4 linked regions of the Arabidopsis thaliana genome follow. The protein of the gene in region 4 interacts with the protein of the main gene of each other region in a biochemical or structural test. Each region holds a gene or a part of one and is shown on either strand. Other genes may lie near its edges.

Region 1 (5,805 bases), on a different chromosome or scaffold from region 4:
CTTGTGTAAAGCCCGTAAACCGGAAAATCGGTTATGGTTTGTGTTTAAATCACCCGGTTTAATCGGTTGGGTTAATGGAAACCCTAGAGTGTACCTATAAAAGAAGGAAACTCGAATTAGAGCTTTGGTTAGTCATTTTTCGTTCTGTAAAAGAGAAAAAGAGAGAGAAGGAGAAGGATCAAAATCGTTAGGATTGGGGAAGAAACAGTTTCAACATATCAAATCGTTGTCAAAGGTAACGAAATTTGGTAGAGTTATTTCGAAGTCTTTCATCGTCGTTTTCCATTTTATAGAAGTTGTTTTGGATTTAAGCTCATTAAGTTATTCACAGTTTCGTGAGACACGTTTTTTCAGACGCGAATTAGGCCCAGCAGAGATTATAACTGAGATCGTGGTCTTGTCTAGTTTCTAATCAGCACGAGATTTTGTGGGAAGCTCGTGACGTCGAAGGCTACTATCAGTATACATACCTATTCGGATTCTCGTTATATGGAAGTAGACGTACGTGTTTCATATACACTAACAAGTCATTTATCATAAATAAATGTGAACTATATATGTTTATAAGATTAAGAATTGGCATCTGTTTGACTTATAACCAAAACTTTGAAAGCCAACAAGTATGAGACCTGGTCTAATACCACAAGCAACAGACTACTTACTATACAGTGTATTATAACATGATGGAACCAGAGATAAATAAAAAATGTACATCAGACAAACTCCTACATAGTTTCTCTCCAGCCCCATAACCGGAATTACATTAAACCGTACCAAATGTACTCGGTTTACAGTCCAACCAGATTTCACCGGAGTTACAGCCCTTATGATGTTCCTCTCCTTTTGCACCTCCAAATGCACTTTTTACCTGTAAAACCAAACATACCACAGTAAATTTCATGCCACTTGGTTAGACCAATGTACCAAATTCCAATTGAACTGTGAAACATAGAAACTTTCACTAATTTTTTTACTGTGGTCTACTGTAAATGCAAACACTTGGATTTGAAAACAGTTCAAAACTTTTCAGCTAAATTCAATTTAAAACTGATACTACTTGGCTAGACAAGTGTGCCAAGCACAACGCGCATCGACGATTTATTTGAATTGTGTAGGAAGATTGAAACTTACTGAAAATTTGGAGACTTTCAATTTGAAAATGTTTAGAATCTTTATGTGAACTTATTGTTGAGAGAGTCGGATTTGCGAGTTACATACCCGGTTTGTGAAAGCCGTCTCCAGTTCAGTATTTCATGGTGATTCTGCAAGTAGCTAGACGTTGTACTTCCTCCTCCAATACCATTTTCTTCACTAGGGAACTGCTCTGAGTACCCTGGAGACCACTCGGGGACTATGCCTCCGCTTCTTTCTCTCCTTCCGCTGCTGGAAGATTCCGCTGTTGAGTCTTCAGTGCTCTCTGCAACAATTCTGATATTAAATTCTGGAATCATAGCAGTGACTTGGTTTGAAGCCGGTTCTGCTCTCCGCTGCTGAGCTTGGTTGGTGTTAACCATGTTCCTTGGAACCTCTGCTCTGCTATCTCCTACTGAATTTCTCAAATTAAGAGACGACTCTTCGTCTTCTTCAGGTCTGATCAAAGAAGAAGTAATGCTTGGAACCATCTGATCCTCATATCTCCTGTTTGGGTTGAGTCTGGTTGGTTCAGTCTCTTCCATTGTAATGTCCCTTGGGAACTCTATAGGAGCTTCCTCTACCTCAGCAGAATCTCCAAGTCCTTCTTCGGATCCGTTCTCTATTGCAGCTCTTGAAGCAGCTTCTAGTTGCCACATCTGTGAAAGCGCTTCATGAAGCCGTGCTTTTGCTTCGTCTAATCCTACAATTGGTAGAGGATAGTTTGATCCAAGCTCGATACCAGCAGCTTGAAGAACGGACTCAGGTGCGTTCCACGGATGATGTATCCAGTCTGTCGGGAGTCTAGAGAGTTCAGGAAGCCATCGCCTTACGTATTCACCATTTGGATCAAACTTGTACCCTTCAAACTGAGGGTTATCTATGCGATCAAACTCCCGGCTATCCGGGAGAGTACCGGTAATGTATTGCCAACCAAGAGCATCGCTTTCTAAATCCGCATCAAGAAGTGTGTCCCAGAAATACTTCATCCCCCATCTCCATGGTAATTGAAGCACTTTAACAAAGAAGCTTGAAACAACTACTCTTATGCGATCATGCAACCAACCAGTAGCCCATAACTCTCTCATCCCGGCATCGACCAACGGATATCCAGTCCGGCCTTGCCTCCATGCCTTGAAATAGTTCTCATCCACAGCCCAAGGGAAGAACTTTAGATGGCCAAGAAGTGGTCTTTCATGGGAATATGGATGGTTAAAACTTATGTACCTAGAATACTCCCTGAGACCAATAGATTTCAGGAAAAGATTCACGCTTTCTTCCCCGGCCTCGTTTCCTTCGTTTGCCCACGCGACCTGTTTGATCCGAACAAGATGAAAAACTTTTCTCACACTCACTTCCCCAAAATGCAAGTGTGGAGAAAGAAACGAGGTTGTAGCACTATCGGCTTTTCTGCGGTTCTTAGAGTATTCAAGCAATGGACCGTTTATAAACGTTGTGAGAGCTTTATCACCATTACTCCATCCAGGAGACCAAGCACGAGCCAGAAGTGCATTGCTTCCTTTCTCAGAGTCATCCTCAAACACCAATGGATCCGCAACACATTTAGACACATCCCCTGCAACATAAAAGAAACATTATTGAATGATACAGATTTGGAAAAAACGAAAACCCACAAGAGAGAGTGGCAAAGAAACAAACCTGAAATGATCTTCTTAGGTGGAAGAAGAGGAGACTCAGGGTCATAAGGCATACTAAGACATCTCTCCCAAAACGCAGCAAACATAGAGAAAGGACGGCCTAATTCATCAGTCACTTCCCATGGCTCATAAAGCAAGTCTGCGTTGAATGATCGAACCGCTATGCCTTGCGCCGTCAAAACATCTTTAGCTCGGTGATCACGCACCAAAGACAATGGATCTGAAAAAGATCAAAACTTTATCATTTCCAGATCATCTTATTCCACAAATACATCAAACAAAACATAACCCATAAGAGAAAAGATGATTCCAATCACAAAAATCAAATCTTTTTATCATGCAAATTCAAAGATAAGATAAAGAGAGAAGAGAAGAGGAACAACAGACCATACAAATGGTTGAAGAAGATCTGAGAAGCACCAGTGGATTTAACAACATCAAGAAGAGAAGCAACACTATCAGTAGATCTCTTGGTGATAAGACAAGTACCAAGACTTCTAAGAGAAGAATCAAGCTGAGCCAAACTGTTCTTGAGCCACCACCTAGAAACCCTACCTGGATGATAGTGTCCTTCTTCTTCTGGTGCCCAAACAAACAGAGCAATCACTGGACCAGCTCTTACTGCTGCTGCTAAAGCTGGATTATCTTCAACCCTAAGATCTCTTCTAAACCATACAATACTACAACCACCAGAACCACAACCAGATACAGAACCAGACATCTCTCACAAACTAAAAAAAACTAAAACTTTTCTTTGCCAATAATCACATAAAAATTACTTTTTTATTCAAACTATTTCCAGAAATCGAAACCCTTTGGTCACTTATCTCTCTCGAGAAGAAAGACAACAAAAAAAAAAAGATTTTTGATGAGAAGGCAAAAAAAAAAAAAAAGCTTATCTTTACGAATATCTCTCTCTCTCTCTGAGTGCCTCTCTGGCAAAATGCAACTATACTTTTGGGAATTATTCACCCAAAAAGATTTTTCCTAATTTTGGACAAAGTAGTCTCTAAGTAATAACCCAAAAATATAGCAATATTTGCATTAATTTCTCTTTTAATTTATTTATTGTTTAGGTTACAGTTTGAAAAAATATTTATCTCTTATTAAATTATAATTATTATTTATTTTTGGTAGAAATATAAAATTATTATTTTTGTCTTAAAGTGAAAAATCAAAGAAAAATAAAATAAAAATAAGTTATCTAAAAAAAAAGAAGAAGAAGAAATTGGAGGTTGATAGAGAGAGGTGAAGAAGATTGACACTAGGAATAATGATTCAATTCACACGACGAGATTTATTGGAATAATTTTCCACCACAACTTTTATTTATTTCTTTCCACTTGAAATATTATCCCAATCCAGTTGAACCAAATCAACTGTGACTCACAAGATTTCTACTCCTTTCCCTAAAATTTCTCCTTTTTTCTTTGTTCAAAAAAAAAAAAAAAATGTAGAATCTTATACTATAATTCTCTAGAACATATTCTACATATAAATATTAAACTGATTTTTTATACACTTGGATTTTAGTGGGACGATTATTGGTTAATTATCAAATGGTTCAATTCGGATTTCGGTTCTGATTCGTTTCGATTTTCGTTTAGGTTTTTAAAATTTCTGTGTTATGAAAAATGGTATATTCAGATAAAATAAAATGATATAATAAATGATTTGGTATAGTTTTGGATTTGAGGTTTTTGGATTATAAATATCAATATGGTTTAGTTTGAATCGGATCGGTTTATCTGGTAAAACAAATGATATCTTAATTTTATTCTTTTATTTTTTTAAAGTTGATTATTAAGGATAATAGAGAAATCATATAAATGATGTACCGAGGATGGTTCTGAAATGTTATTGGAAGGTTAGGATATGAGAGAGAGTGACATATTAGCAAAAGTGGGCGAGAGATGGATATGGTTGGCCCTCCTTGCCTTTTAACATATTTTAGGACTTTTTATGTTATCTATATATATATATATATATATATTGTTTTTGGTGTGGAGAGTGTTTATCTTGATTCATGATAGAGTTAAGACTCCCTTGACAAGTCAATTTAAGTTACCAAATCACTAATCCAAAATTATGAAACCTCTTTTACGGCTTTACCCAATTTTAATTCCATCACATATATGTTTGATAGTTTAGATCTACATTTTTCTCTTCTGATTAATTTTTATAGTGAGCGTAGTTGTCGAATAGTCTTCATAATTGTTTTTAATATGTTTGATAGTTTAGATTTAGATTTTTTTCATCTGATTATTTTTTTAGGGTGAGCGTAGTTGTCGAATCGTCTACTTAAATTTTTTAATAGCTTTAAACATGATACTGAGAGCTGGTTAAAAATATATTTTAGGTTCGAAGAAAATTGATTTATAACTTAGACCTACATAAAAAAAAATAACAAATCAGAATCACTAACTAGCTACTTGTATTTGGTTAAATTCCATCATATGCGTAGGACATTGAATTTTGTGGGTAAAAATTAGAAGATACAAACATACATTTCTGAAAATCATAAATATTCATCAGATTAAGTATACAACAAATTGACGAAAAAAAAAATTTACAACTAATTTACTTTTTTTTTTATCAATAACACATTAATTTAAAGATAACTTCATGATTGGTTTACCGCTCAACAATTAATTCACATCAGACAAAATATATTTAACAAAGCGGATAAATAATATAAAAATGAATAATGATGACACAAATGAACGGATTACATACATTAAAAAAAACAATCATGATATCTGCTCTCGACCACCTCTAAATTAGCTTGTTTTCGAGTGTAAATAACGTGCCTTTTATTATTTTATTGCTCGTAGGAGTATTCATAATATAGCTAGAAAGAGCTTATTATTTTATTATATGTATGTACAAAAAATAATAGAGATTATTATTGATTTTGCCTTTTTTATAAAAATCTTGTGAAAATGATATTTTTCCTAAAATCTTACGGATTTATTATTTTTAACACTTAAAAATGTACCTCGTTACGTTTTTTTAA
Region 2 (4,848 bases), on a different chromosome or scaffold from region 4:
AGAAACGATGCTAAATTGATGAAGATAGGAGGAAATATACCTCAATGGGATCCTGTGTATCGGTTTCTGGGATCGTCAATGGAAAAGAGAAGGAAGATGAGGTTGGATTCGTCGATACACATCCTGGGTTCGTGGAAGGGCAAGGCCTAATTTTGCTACAAAAAAAAGAGAGTAATAAAGATTAGCTTTGTTTAGAGAGCAGAAATCAGAGTGAGAAGAGGAACAAACCCATTGAGAAGACCGGTCTGGACGAACTTGGATTGGGTGAAAGGAGTGGTGAGTGGCTGAGAAGAGGAGAGAGAAGGAATGGCTAAGGCAGGGGAAAAGGAAGTTAGAGAGATAGCAAGAGCAAAAGAGATTAGTTTTGGTAAAAGAGAGATTGGAGGAGAAGTAGAAGAGAGTTCTTGTTCTTGTTTTGGGCTTTGCAATGAGCACAACAACTTGGTGCTTCTCGGCCGTGGCGGGAGGATGAGTTGCAAACTGGCGACCAAACTCATGTTTGTAGTTTATGGTTACTCTCTTCTCCTCCAAATATTATTAATATATAAGTGTCTCAAAACGCTTTACTGAAATGAAAATTAATTAAAATTGTTTTTTTTTTTTATTGTATGTTTGAACTTTTAAATTTTAGTTGACTACAAATTCCATAATGTCCCGATATAAAATGTGAGATGTGTTCTTGTTTGACCACAATAAAAACACTATGAGATTGGTAGAAAATTATCAAGAAATAGAGTTTCACCCAATACCAATAGCGTTTCACCTAGTTTTCATCATCCTATTACAAAAATTCGATGGTAAATTACAAGCGGCAAAGTTCAATGTAACTAATGATACACCGATACACGTAACATGTTCATTGAATGTTTCATTAAACCAACAAAAAACTATTGACTCATGCCACTAGAAAAATTACCACCGAATTAAATTAAAGAGAGCGAGAGGCAAATGAAACGATAGAAAATAAGACGTTCAATGGTCTTGAGAGAATTAAATATGTTTCTTTATATTCACCAGTGTTTGAACATTTGCAGAATTGTGCAGAGAAAGGACTAAAGGAGAATGAACAACATTTTATTGGACAAGGAAACTCTATTTTCACGATTTCGCAGGTATGTCTTTTTATAATATTACTTATTTCATAATATTTTGATATAGATGATTACTCAAACAAAAGAGGTGAAAACTCTTGTAAATTTTCAGTATTTAACCTGCAAAACAGATACTACTTTTTTACTTGATTTATCAAACCAAAGTTAAGACTTACAAAAGCACCGGTGACAATCCGACATTGTTGCCATGCAAAGACTCAAACCAATTTGACCGTCGACGCTTTTTTAGTATTTCAAAAATATTTTTATCAATTCATGAATTATGATTATTGCCAAACATCGATTCAGTGGAGACTAGGTTTATGAATTATGACCGTAGAACATATGAAAACTGTGTAAAACTATTGTATAATTTATGTATTAAATTTTGTATTAATCAACTGATATGCGGTCGGACCGGATCCAACCGGCGATCGAAACATACCATTTATATTTTTTCTTTTTCTATTTTACTAGAAATAAAATAAATAGAAACCTCCGTTGCTTTTTTGGCAAACACTGTGAGAGAGTTGACCAAAATCGACCCAGTGGGAGGACTAGGTTTATCGAAAGCTCCAGTTTTCATAGATAAATCCAGTAAAATTATACACGCAAATTCTAGTTTCTTAGAGCAAAGCTTTGTTGAATTGATAGCTTGAATTTGGGAATGGACGGAGAAGAGCTTACCGAGCAGGAGACTGCCTTGTACGACCGCCAGATTAGGGTTTGGGGCGCTAATGCTCAGAGAAGGTTACTTTCTCATCCCCTTGTTCTTTTCAACACTCAATCTTGTTTTCACTTTTCTAAATTTAAGTGCTTTTAAGCTGCATCATCTCAATTATGATTTGAGTCGGCTTTGAGTACTAAACTCTTACTATTTGGCCATTTTAGGAGAATGCTTAATGGTCCCTTCTTAAATGCGGATTTAGATCATTAAAATTGTATTTTTTTTTGCTTCTCCTCCATTCGATTACTTTCTCTTGGCTTCAGTTTTGGTTTTTATTTGTTTGTCTTTGTCTTAAGAGAATTTTAGTTAATACCTATTATTGGTTTAGCGTTTGGATTCTGCTTCTAGACTAGTGCATTCCTAATTATGAGCTCCCTTAGGTTGTTCTGAGATGAGAGTTTTGTTTTTTAACTATTAAGATTGATGTATTCATTCATATTTTGCTTTTTGCTGAAGCTTATTTTATTGATACACTACACTACCATGTAATTACTCTGTAAGCTTGGCACGATTTGATATAGTGTGAGGTTGGTGTTTTGCCTTGCAGATTGACCAAAGCTCATATCTTGGTATCTGGAATTAAGGGGACTGTTGCTGAGGTAGCTGTAACTCTATAATTCATGCTGAGATGTCATGCTTTTCAATTAGTTTAATCTAATGGTATCTTACTGCATTTCCTGGCTTTGTTTCCATTTGGTGGGTTAGTTTTGCAAGAACATTGTGCTGGCAGGAGTTGGTTCAGTGACTTTAATGGATGATCGTTTAGCAAACATGGAGGCCTTGAACGCTAACTTTTTGATTCCGCCTGATGAAAATGTTTACAGTGGCAAAACTGTGGCTGAGATTTGTAGTGATTCACTCAAGGATTTCAACCCTATGGTCCGTGTTTCCGTAGAGAAAGGTTTCCCTCTAATACCTCTCCGTTAATGTTTTAAAAACATACCGACTATTATCTGATCAATTTTTCAAATCTTTCAGGTGATTTGTCAATGCTTGGCACTGATTTTTTTGAGCAGTTTGATGTCGTAGTTATAGGCTATGGTTCTCGTGCTACCAAAGTATTTATACCACCTTTTACATATTTACCACTTGCTTTCATCTTTAGTTGCTCCATACATCTCTTCATGACGTTGTCTGTTTATTTTTTGCAGAAATATGTCAATGAAAAATGTCGGAAGTTAAAGAAACGTGTCGCATTCTATACAGTCGATTGTAGAGACTCATGTGGTGAAATCTTTGTGGACCTCCAAGATTACAAGTACACAAAGGTACTTGCATGATTTGTTGTTGCATTTCTTCTGTTGATTATGTGCTGTTTTGACATTTCATCTGGCTTATTTTTAAATTTCTATAATTCCATTGAACATTTAAACTTCATTAACAACTTCTAATTTGCACAATGTCCTTTGTATTGTTTTCCTGATAATTTTCTTTCCACAGAAAAAGCTTGAAGAGATGGTGGAATGCGAACTAAATTTTCCAAGTTTTCAGGTACAATTTAACACTAGTTCTCGCTACTAATAATCCTTACATCTGCATAGGATTTTGTGATAAATTAGATTTGTTTATTGCCACAGGAAGCTATATCGGTACCATGGAAACCGATTCCTCGGAGAACAGCAAAGCTCTACTTTGCTATGAGAGGTAGTTACTAGTTACTACAGCTGATTTCTTTATTACTTTCCACAAATGAAAATTGAGATCCCAAGGCAGATACATACAACAAAAATTCTTCACTAATCTTTGGCATTCTCATGAAATTTTCAGTAATAGAAGTGTTTGAAGAGAGTGAAGGGCGTAAACATGGAGAATGTTCGCTACTCGATCTTGCCAGAGTCTTGGAAATCAAAAAGCAACTCTGTGAGGCAAACGTAAGTGTGTTTAGTTGTTTTATCATTATTTAGAAATGTCACTGCCAGGTTCACTGAATAACTGAATATTGTCTCTCAGTCTGTGAGCGAGAGCCATATACCAGATATTCTCTTGGAGAGACTTATCACTGGTACTACTGAATTCCCGCCAGTTTGTGCCATTGTGGGAGGAATATTAGCACAGGTTCTCTCTCTCTCACTTTCACTCTCTTATCGCATTCGAATCTTCTCACTAGAAACTTGTAATTTGACAAGAAAGATTTTTTGATGTGGCAGGAGGTGATCAAAGCAGTATCAGGCAAAGGAGACCCGTTGAAAAACTTCTTCTACTATGATGGTGAAGATGGGAAAGGTGTGATGGAAGACATTTCCGACTCTTTTACCTCTTAAACAACCAGTGGGCCTTGATTTAGTTTAAACTCTATAATCTCTGAGATTCCATGTATATCTCAATCGTTTGTTTTTTGCCTTCACATTATGAACAAATTTAATGCAGAATTTAGTGGAGGATCAGTTGTGATTTTCCTTCGGTAAAATCATTTTCAGTTATTGACATTTGAATTGTTCAATTTCAAATTTCAAATATTATAATTCAATTCAAAGACTAGCTAAGTTTTTAAAAGTAATTAGTGAGAGATCTCACAGTGATATAAACCACATTCATTTTAATTCATAGCAAAGTAAATGGTAAGAAATGAAAATGGAAGAAAGAGAGGAGAGTAGTTCACACGAACATCTGAAGGAGAAGTTGAGAGAGCTTGAGGAGGAATGGACAGCCATGAAAACAGGTAAAAACTCATCTGCGGTTTCATGGATTACCGTGGAAGATGCTCTTGAGTATGTCGAAAACTCTCCCAGAAACCTAATGCTCTCTCTCCAACACAAACCAAAGGCAGAGATGATACAAGAAATATCGCCATTAAGGAGAAAACTCTTTCACGACTCTGATGATGATGATCAAACTAAGAAGACGACATTGCTTTCTCATTCATCTTGTTGGTCTTCGAATGTGACGAGTTCGAGTGATACCACGAAAGCAAAGAAGAAGACAACGATTAGAAGATTTGTTTCTGTTACAATGGTGCTGCTTTTGTCATGGGTTTTAGTTGTGTTGATGAACCACTTTGATCATCTCTCCATGAATACACAAATCATTACT
Region 3 (3,859 bases), on a different chromosome or scaffold from region 4:
AATGTTAACCAGAAAAGCAACAGAACCCATGGAGGTCCGATCACAAATGGGACGGCCGCCGAGTGCCTTGTCCTTCAGTGAACAATATGGTGACTTGGTGGTTTGTATGTATAATTAAAAGCCTAAATAAGCAAACTCTCTTTGTAGTTGCATTTGAAGCTTCTTGGTTTATGTATGATGGTTGTGGGCATTTTGTGCCTAGACTTCTGGTTCTTTGTTTTTTGTTATGAGTTGGTGTTTATGAATTATATATGTTCTTCACTAATATGATTATTATTTGTATAGATTTGATTATTCAAAGGATATGTCTTAAGAAGGGGTTCAGGTTCAGCCAACTAATTACTTGTAACCAAGTCTTTCTACCATCAACAACCATGTTAAGATTCAGACACTTAGTTTTTACAGCTCGAGACTCGAGAGAGAGTAATAATACTGATTATTGTCTTGTCTATAACCACCACAAGCTCTGGTTATGAAGTCGTCCTCTATAGACTATAATTCACTAACTCGATGCTAGTTCATGTTTAAGTAATATTTTGTTTAGTTGACTAGATGGATTTTATCTTTGCTCGCCATTAGCTCAATGAGCTACGTATATGTTAAGAGTCACACTTTCAATAATTAATAGCTTTTTACCGTTACCATACCAACAAACTTTAGATAATTGGGTTAATAACACCTTTAAGCCGAAATAGTAGTATCATAGGATCCGATACCAAACGAACAAGACAAAAAATCAACCAAAGGGTTCTTTAACCTTCGTGACCATAATAACTTAGTTTCTAAAGAGAATGGTCACGATAAAAAAACAAGTCTGCAAATCCTAATGCCGATTACTCCTTAACCATTCATATCACACACAAGCCCTAAACCTGGACGAAGTGTCAGGCCGTAGCACCACCACCGCTGCCACCAGTCTGATGGAGCATCGCATCGATCTCATCACCATCCTCCATGTCAAGCTGTAGTGTCAAGAATTATTAGTATCAGAAACTATAAACTTCAAAAGGTAAGAAATAAAGCATGTAGAATGAATGTTATACCTCATCGGGAGTTTGCTCAGCACGAAGACGACGCCCATCAAACAAGAAAGCAATGGAGTTCATGTCCACAGATTGCCGGTCACAGTAAGCATTCATCAGCTTCTTGAGCTGAGTGCTTCTCTTGATCCTAAAGAAAACCTCGTTTCCATCCTATAAAACAAACATATAGAAGGAACAATAAACGTTAGAGACCGCATATGAAACAATAACTAAATCACATGGCTCTCTTTTGGTAGTAACCTGAAAGAGTCGAAAAATTAAACACATATCAACAAACATTCAGTTTAAGGCTTCGTCTATGAGAATTTGAAGCACAAACATCAGCCAAACTAATTGAAAACTTAGTACAGAGACTACAACTTCATCAGAAGATATATAACAACTTAGTACAGAGACAGCATCGTTCACAGTCTTTAGAACATTCAACAACTAAGTAAACTTATCCCTTCCAAAACTATAAAACCCTCAAACAACAACAGGAACCAAAAGCTCAATAACAACTTACACCTAAACAAGACTTATATAATTTCAGAAATTTGATAAACAATTAGCAAAAACAAGCAAACGTGTAAACATAAAGCAGGATACTTTAAACCTGTAAAACAAAAGAGGAAGAAGACCATTAAGACTGAGCTAGTAGTACGAAACCCTAAAATTAAACCAAATTGGAGAATGAAAAACCCTAATCGCAGCTACACGAAATCAGAAACCCAAACATTCACAAGAACACACAAGGATGAGAAGGAGAAAGAGAGATACCTGTCCCTTGACTTTGAGATTGATGTGAGCTCCTCCGTCTCCTGGCTTCTTGTCTTCCTCCTGGTTTGCAGACATCGTGAAAGGTTCTCCGTCCGGTTACAAAAACACGAAATTTGAGAGAACGATGAGAGATTCACACAATCAAAGAATGATGCTGAGAGATGAATATAAAAAGACTGACTCTGAAAATCTCTCTAATTGGCCGTGGCTTTTGTACTTGGACGCATCGGATTCCTCTCTATCATAAATCGTAGGGCATCTATCCAACGGTTCATATTCTCTCTAGGTTCTCTTTTAATCCAACGGCTGCTAGTTATGTTCAAATCTGTCGTTTCGTTATAATGGGCTTATATTTTTATTGGGCCACATCTAACCCACTAGACAATTTCATTTGGTTAAATATTTTAGGTTGCAGTTCCTGATCTCACGTGACGTGAGTCCTCCTATCCACCACTCTCCATGATTTCATCATCTGTTGAAGACTTGACAATTTGACATAGAAGAAATAAATAAATTGTTAAATCTATAAATCATGTCACTTTGTGTATTAACAAAAAGATTAGTTGAAGGAGATAAAGTCTGTCACACACTCTTCACAAAAGAAAGAAATGATGATGAATTAACGAAATATGCGCAATGCAACATATAAAGAACCTAGGTCTTGACTCTTGTTTAAGAAACAATAAAAGTCAAGGTTTTTGTTAGGTTTCTGTTATAACCAAAATCAACTATGAAAACATTCATATGTTAGAAAAACATCAAAATTATAGAGAGTTCCTTTAACTGAAGATTATGGTAAAGTAAAACTTTTTGCTATAAATAGAGCTTTAAAATTATACAGTTTTAGTTAAATCTATTATTTCAGCTATTCTTCCGTGTTATTAGTTATCCCACAACCCCCACTTGGCACTTGTTTACACCTAAATCGTATAAATACTGTAGACCAGCTCCGTCCCAAACGCAACAAAAACTTTCCTTCGTCTCCATAACTATCAAACGACACTCATCTATGCGTTTAATGCTCTGTTTCTGAAGATACACTCGAGAATAACCATGGCCGTTTCTTTCTTACCTTATTTTCTGATTCTTTCCTTCCTCTCAGCCATTGACGCACGTTAGTTTTTAATCTCTTCATATACCTATGTCTGTCTCTGTATTTGCCGTGTCTACTACGTTGTTCTTATTTTGCGTTTTTTTTGTTTTTGTTTCCACAGATTCTGGAATGGTCGGAGTCAATTATGGTCGGATAGCTAACAATCTCCCGTCGCCGGAGAAAGTAGTGAACCTCCTGAAATCTCAAGGAATCAACCGTATCAAAATCTTCGACACCGATAAGAATGTACTAACCGCACTTGCAAATTCCAAAATCAAAGTAATCGTCGCTCTCCCTAACGAGCTTCTCTCCTCCGCCGCCTCCCACCAATCATTCGCCGACAACTGGATTAAAACCCACATAATGCCATACTTCCCAGCGACGGAGATCGAAGCTATCGCCGTCGGTAACGAAGTATTCGTCGATCCGACGATCACGCCGTATCTTGTCAATGCGATGAAGAACATTCACACCTCTCTGGTTAAGTATAAACTCGACAAAGCCATCAAGATCTCGTCTCCTATTGCTCTTAGCGCGCTTGCTAATTCGTACCCGCCTTCCTCTGGTTCTTTTAAACCGGAATTAATCGAACCGGTTGTTAAACCAATGCTTGCTCTGCTTCAACAAACGTCGTCGTATCTTATGGTAAATGCTTATCCGTTTTTCGCTTACGCAGCAAACGCCGATAAAATCTCTTTAGACTACGCTCTGTTTAAAGAAAACGCCGGGAATATAGATTCCGGTACCGGATTGAAGTACAACAGTCTCTTTGACGCTCAAATAGACGCCGTTTACGCGGCATTGTCCGCCGTCGGATTTAAAGGCGTTAAGGTGATGGTGACGGAAACAGGGTGGCCTTCCGTTGGAGATGAGAATGAGATTGGTGCAAGCGAATCTAACGCGGCGGCGTATAACGCCGGACTTGTGAAGAGAGTGTTAACGGGTAAAGGAACACCGTTAAGAC
Region 4 (4,712 bases):
GACCAATTCCCACCTCAAAGTTGCTATCTTTTTTTCTGAACCATTTCTACTTGTTTTGGGATTTTTACTAAGGCCCATTAGCACTTATTCGGCCCATATATGTGGGGTAGCAAAAGTTGACTATAATCAACCATCAAACCGCCCTCGTGCCCTTTTTATACATCACAAAGGATCAAATGTCACAGTCACTCAACTATATAATACCAAAGGGTCACGAGTGAAGTCTAGTCTACTACCACCACTGTCGAATGTTTTTTTATCTCTTAAACAAGTTCGTAAACCAACTTCAATTGCTGTCAAAAAAAAAAAAAAAAAACTTCAGTCTTTTATTTACGAAGAACATCAACATCTCCCATTTTTACATATGTGGAATTATTTATGTGCAGTTGATGTTGAACAATATAATCCGCCTACTCTTTTTTTTTTTTAGGTGACATATATAATCGCCTACTATATCTTTCAGATACATGTATTAAAGGTGGACATTTGTATCTTTTCGGTTTCTTTTGTTTACTTTTCTTCTTTCAAATTAACAAATAAGAAAACTGAAAACGACTTAGCATTGTTAAAATAATCTGGTCCACCTATAATACCATGCACATTAAAAGAGCATATTCATGAGAATCAGCACATTATCATAAGAGACAGTTTAATCAGGCTCATTAGTCATTACAATGAATTTTATAGATGGTGACACTCAAGATGATTTTATTTCAACCAATTGCACATACTTGGTAACACATACTTCTATTTCTGCCTATCCAATTTACCCTCCAATGTCACATGCAAAAAAAAAAAACTCTCCAAAGCGAGATTAAAATTTTTCAATTACCTAATATAATGAAAGATAAGATCTTAACAAGTGACAAAGGGAAAAACAGTAGGATTTAGTTTGGCTTCGGTCGGAAATCTATCATCATAACCGGTTCAACAGATCAATTCATTGAGCCACCATCTAATTGGTGGAGAGTTTCCAAGCCGAGGTGGCTATGAGCGGTCGTGTGTGCCAACCCAACATGAGACAGCCGTCACTCTCCTCCACCCGATAACCCTCACCGCCGTTGAACAGAGCCAAAAGCATACTCGCTTGCTTAAACGCATTCGAACCAATATGTGCAGCCGCAAACCCAGCAGACCCGAACCGGTTCCTCCACTGACTCAACGTTTCATGACGCTCAACTCGGTCAGGTCCATCACAAGCCACAACGTTGCAGATCTGTTTACCCAAGTAAACCTCCGACATGACCTTGTCTTGACCACTCGGTACACCTTCCAACGAGTCAAACAACGTCGAGTAATAATGCAACGACTCAGTAAACCGATCTAAGAAAATCGGACTATTATGGTTCGATTCCTGCTCAACCACAGTGAAAATCTCCGGTTTAATCTGATTCACCACACCAAGAACCTTATCGATCGCACCAGGTCGTCCCAAGAGCTTGTGAAGCTCGAAAACAGAGTTAACCGCAACAGATTCAATCTCACTTGGTCTAAGCTCAAGCATCGAAGCATCAAGATCAGCTAAAGTGTTAGCCACAAATCCTCTGTACTCAAACTCAACGTGAATCGCCTCAGCTAAATGAGCCAGCTTACACCCAACTTCATGAAGATAATCGAAATTATCCGGTGCCGGTGGACCAATTCCGGTTAACCGGAAAACAGGAGGACCACCAGGTCGAAGCGCAAGAGCCTGCATAAGCGCCGGCCATTGAAGACCTTGACTCATAGAGAAATCAATGACATGAACTCTTTTCTTCCCTTGAAAAGCTTCGAGAATCGCTTGATTCGCCGTGAAGTGAGCGAACTTGAGATAAGGACAAGTCTCGTAGAAGTGCATCTGAAGAGTATCGGAGAGAGAGTGGTCGATTGGACTCTGCGACGGAGAGAGACGGTAAATCCGCCGCGCGAGAGCTTCGGCGAAGTAAGTAGCGACTTTTCTCATCGCTCCGATTTGAGAAACGGCTAAGAATCCGATTTGCTTCACCAGAGCTTCCGCTACAGTCAGATTCTCTTTCTGAACAGCTTCAGCGCAAGCCAAAAGCGCGTGAACGAGACGCACACCGTTCTCCTGCGAGTCAACCAGGACAACATGCCGAGTTGACTCAGCCGTCGCTGTAGTGGTTTCCACGACGCCGTTTGAGCATTTCAACCGCTTGTTTGTAGTATACGTATCTCCTCCGCCGCCTTGGTTAGACGAAGAAGCCGAATCGATAGCGAACTGATTGAGAATCGCGTCACCGGGAATAGCTTTAAGATCGTACTCGGCGTTAGACGACGGAGGATTAAGGTCGGTGAGCATAGAATCAAGCCACGTGTAAAGCTCCGCCGGATTATAGTGAACAGTCTCAGTAGCGAGTTGAGAAAGATCGTCTTCTTGAACATTAGACATCATAACTTCAAGCTGCTCGAGTTTCTGAGCAACATCAGCCATTTCGGATGACCTAACCTTGTAACCAAGAACAGCTAGAAGCTCATCCATGCCGTTACCGTCGTCTTCTTCATTCATCATCATAGTCTTCTTATCTTGATGATGATGATGATGATGATCTCTCTTCATGGTTGGTTTTTTTTCAGAGATGGATCTAAAAGGTTTTTCCTTCAATGTCGGATCTAGGTTTTGCTTTATTTGGGAAGGTGAAGAATCTTTAGCTTCGGGGATCGGTTAGGACTGCTTAGGATTTGTTTTTTCACTCCACTACCACTTCTAATAACAAAATAAATTGTAAAAATAGAGAGGAAGGTTATAAGAAAAAAAATGATTATTATTGTTGAGAATAAAAAGGCTCGTGATGGGGCTCGATGTCCGATGAATCATGGATCAGAGGGCTAACAGCAACATCTACAGCTCAAAGAGATAAGGCTGAAAATCACACACACACCAAAATTTGTAATTAGGGAATATATTGAAATTAATAAACTAATATATTAGGGAATATATAGCTTTTTACAGATTAATATTTTCTAAAGTTAGTATTACTTTAGAGTTTAGATGGTCATACAATTTTGAACAACTAAAAAGATTGTCATGCAACTAGTGGTACAATTTACTTTTTGTCGCTTTTTTAAGGAGTTTGTTGTGTTGGTTTTGTGTGATTGTAACTTTTGATCTAAAATACAGATATTTTTTATTAAAAAGTTTAAGTATTTAGTATAGTCTTATTAAATAAAATGGAACTTTTGTATTGGGAAAAGTAAACCATCATTAAACCCATTATGGAAATTAATATTCCATTTTATTAAAAAGAGATTGAGGGACTATGACGTTTTCCCGTTTTAGTTTTAAATTGTTAAAAAATTTAAATTGAATATAAGAAAAAGCTCCTTTTCTAACATTTTTTATAAGATCTTTAAAAAAAAAATTAAACCTTATTAGTATTTATCTGTAAGAGTGGATAAGAACTAGTAACATTTTCATTAATTACAAAAGACTTTTATATTTGTTCTTTGGATGGGGAACTAAAAGCTTTCATCATACTGTTTGAGTGCCCTAGCCTTCCCCTTTGTAATAATGTAGGCATGTTTCGAGCAAGGGGGTAGAAAAGTAAACTGCAGTATATATAAACCCATTTCAAAATAACAGTAATTATCAAATAGTAGCATTCAGTCTTTACACTTAAATAGCATTCACTATTTTGTCAATTACATGTTACGATAGAGTTAAGTTGTAATCGTTTCTTTTTAAAGTATAGTCTCGATTTTTTTTGCTATTTGTAGATAAAATTGGTTAATACAATTGTAGTATGTACTTAACGCCGTCGCTTACGGCAACTATTCTTAAATCATAATAAGATTACACAGATCAGAAAATAACAATTAGTCCCACTAATTAATGTCTTACAAAAATATTCGAAATTATTTTCGTGAAAATCAGAACTGACAACATGTGATTGGGTCCACGTGTAAAACGGGTCCCTTGAACTTACCGTACGCCATTTAGACTGTGGTCCCAAAGATCCCATGTGATTATTACACGTCTCTAAAGTATTTTTATACGCTAGGCCCTGATGAGAATTGAGATGACCATTCCCACCGTTGACGGCTCTTCGTATGGACCATCTCAATTAACGCTGTGCTACATGGTTGGTTACATGTTCTTGTGTTCCACGAATAATTATGCTCCGTTACATCATTTTCTCACAAAAAAAAAAAAACTGTTTATATTTTTAGCCACTTCACAAAAATTTATCAGATGGTATAATGGATCATTTCAATGTATATATACTATTACTTACGGAGTATAGAGTGACGTCGATAGTATTGGATTAAACATGCACCATGTCAATGTGTAATGTGTTACAAATTCGGTAGGTATAATTATTAATTTACTAGCAAAGAGAAAAAGACATCCAAAGTTTTTTACTTTGATTGGTTATCGTCATACTTGATATCAAGTGCTCTCGTTGATTAACCAAAAAAATTAAAGGTGCACTCATTGATTCCTTTATTTATTTTTTATAGTAGTAGAAGCTAACAAATGAAAATGGTGTCACATCATTCGTAATGAATATTTAGTCTGCTTTTTAGTCCAAACATTATTTTTTCTAAAGAAGTAATACAAGTCGTGATATATGTTAATTACATAAACAAGCCAATTTTAAACAAGTAAAATTGGATTACTGAATTCTTGAAATACTAGGCATTTTTGGAACAAAAAAAAAAAGGAAGAATAACTTGGGTTTACAAGATTGTTTGAGTCTTTTTGAAATAGTGAA

What was found.
Region 1: the proteins of GAI (region 4) and CRY1 form a complex in vitro, tested with the Arabidopsis thaliana proteins (one study listed by BioGRID).
Region 2: of the proteins of GAI (region 4) and SAE1A, one has a biochemical effect on the other in vitro, tested with the Arabidopsis thaliana proteins (one study listed by BioGRID).
Region 3: the proteins of GAI (region 4) and SUMO1 form a complex in vitro, tested with the Arabidopsis thaliana proteins (one study listed by BioGRID).

What each region holds. Positions count from the first base shown.
Region 1 is NC_003075.7:5,721,965-5,727,769, reverse strand, and holds CRY1 (cryptochrome 1), read right to left. Parts: upstream 4,120-5,805; 5' UTR 3,511-4,119; coding exon 3,177-3,510; intron 3,010-3,176; coding exon 2,791-3,009; intron 2,708-2,790; coding exon 1,219-2,707; intron 869-1,218; coding exon 865-868; 3' UTR 502-864; downstream 1-501.
Region 2 is NC_003075.7:12,821,893-12,826,740, forward strand, and holds SAE1A (SUMO-activating enzyme 1A), read left to right. Parts: upstream 1-1,603; 5' UTR 1,604-1,758; coding exon 1,759-1,841; intron 1,842-2,365; coding exon 2,366-2,417; intron 2,418-2,523; coding exon 2,524-2,719; intron 2,720-2,796; coding exon 2,797-2,876; intron 2,877-2,969; coding exon 2,970-3,086; intron 3,087-3,258; coding exon 3,259-3,309; intron 3,310-3,395; coding exon 3,396-3,462; intron 3,463-3,585; coding exon 3,586-3,689; intron 3,690-3,768; coding exon 3,769-3,873; intron 3,874-3,965; coding exon 3,966-4,079; 3' UTR 4,080-4,317; downstream 4,318-4,848. Other genes in the region: AT4G24930 (thylakoid lumenal 17.9 kDa protein, chloroplast), read right to left, coding at 41-155, 229-497; AT4G24950 (uncharacterized protein), read left to right, coding at 4,390-4,848. UniProt on the Arabidopsis thaliana protein: The dimeric enzyme acts as an E1 ligase for SUMO1 and SUMO2. It mediates ATP-dependent activation of SUMO proteins and formation of a thioester with a conserved cysteine residue on SAE2. Functionally redundant with its paralog SAE1B.
Region 3 is NC_003075.7:13,495,484-13,499,342, reverse strand, and holds SUMO1 (small ubiquitin-like modifier 1), read right to left. Parts: upstream 2,057-3,859; 5' UTR 1,878-2,056; coding exon 1,803-1,877; intron 1,194-1,802; coding exon 1,044-1,193; intron 963-1,043; coding exon 885-962; 3' UTR 523-884; downstream 1-522. Other genes in the region: VTC2 (GDP-L-galactose phosphorylase 1), read left to right, coding at 1-81; AT4G26830 (O-Glycosyl hydrolases family 17 protein), read left to right, coding at 2,944-3,859. UniProt on the Arabidopsis thaliana protein: Ubiquitin-like protein which can be covalently attached to target lysines as a monomer. Does not seem to be involved in protein degradation and may function as an antagonist of ubiquitin in the degradation process.
Region 4 is NC_003070.9:5,147,259-5,151,970, reverse strand, and holds GAI (GRAS family transcription factor family protein), read right to left. Parts: upstream 2,990-4,712; 5' UTR 2,558-2,989; coding exon 956-2,557; 3' UTR 556-955; downstream 1-555. UniProt on the Arabidopsis thaliana protein: Transcriptional regulator that acts as a repressor of the gibberellin (GA) signaling pathway. Transcription coactivator of the zinc finger transcription factors GAF1/IDD2 and ENY/IDD1 in regulation of gibberellin homeostasis and signaling.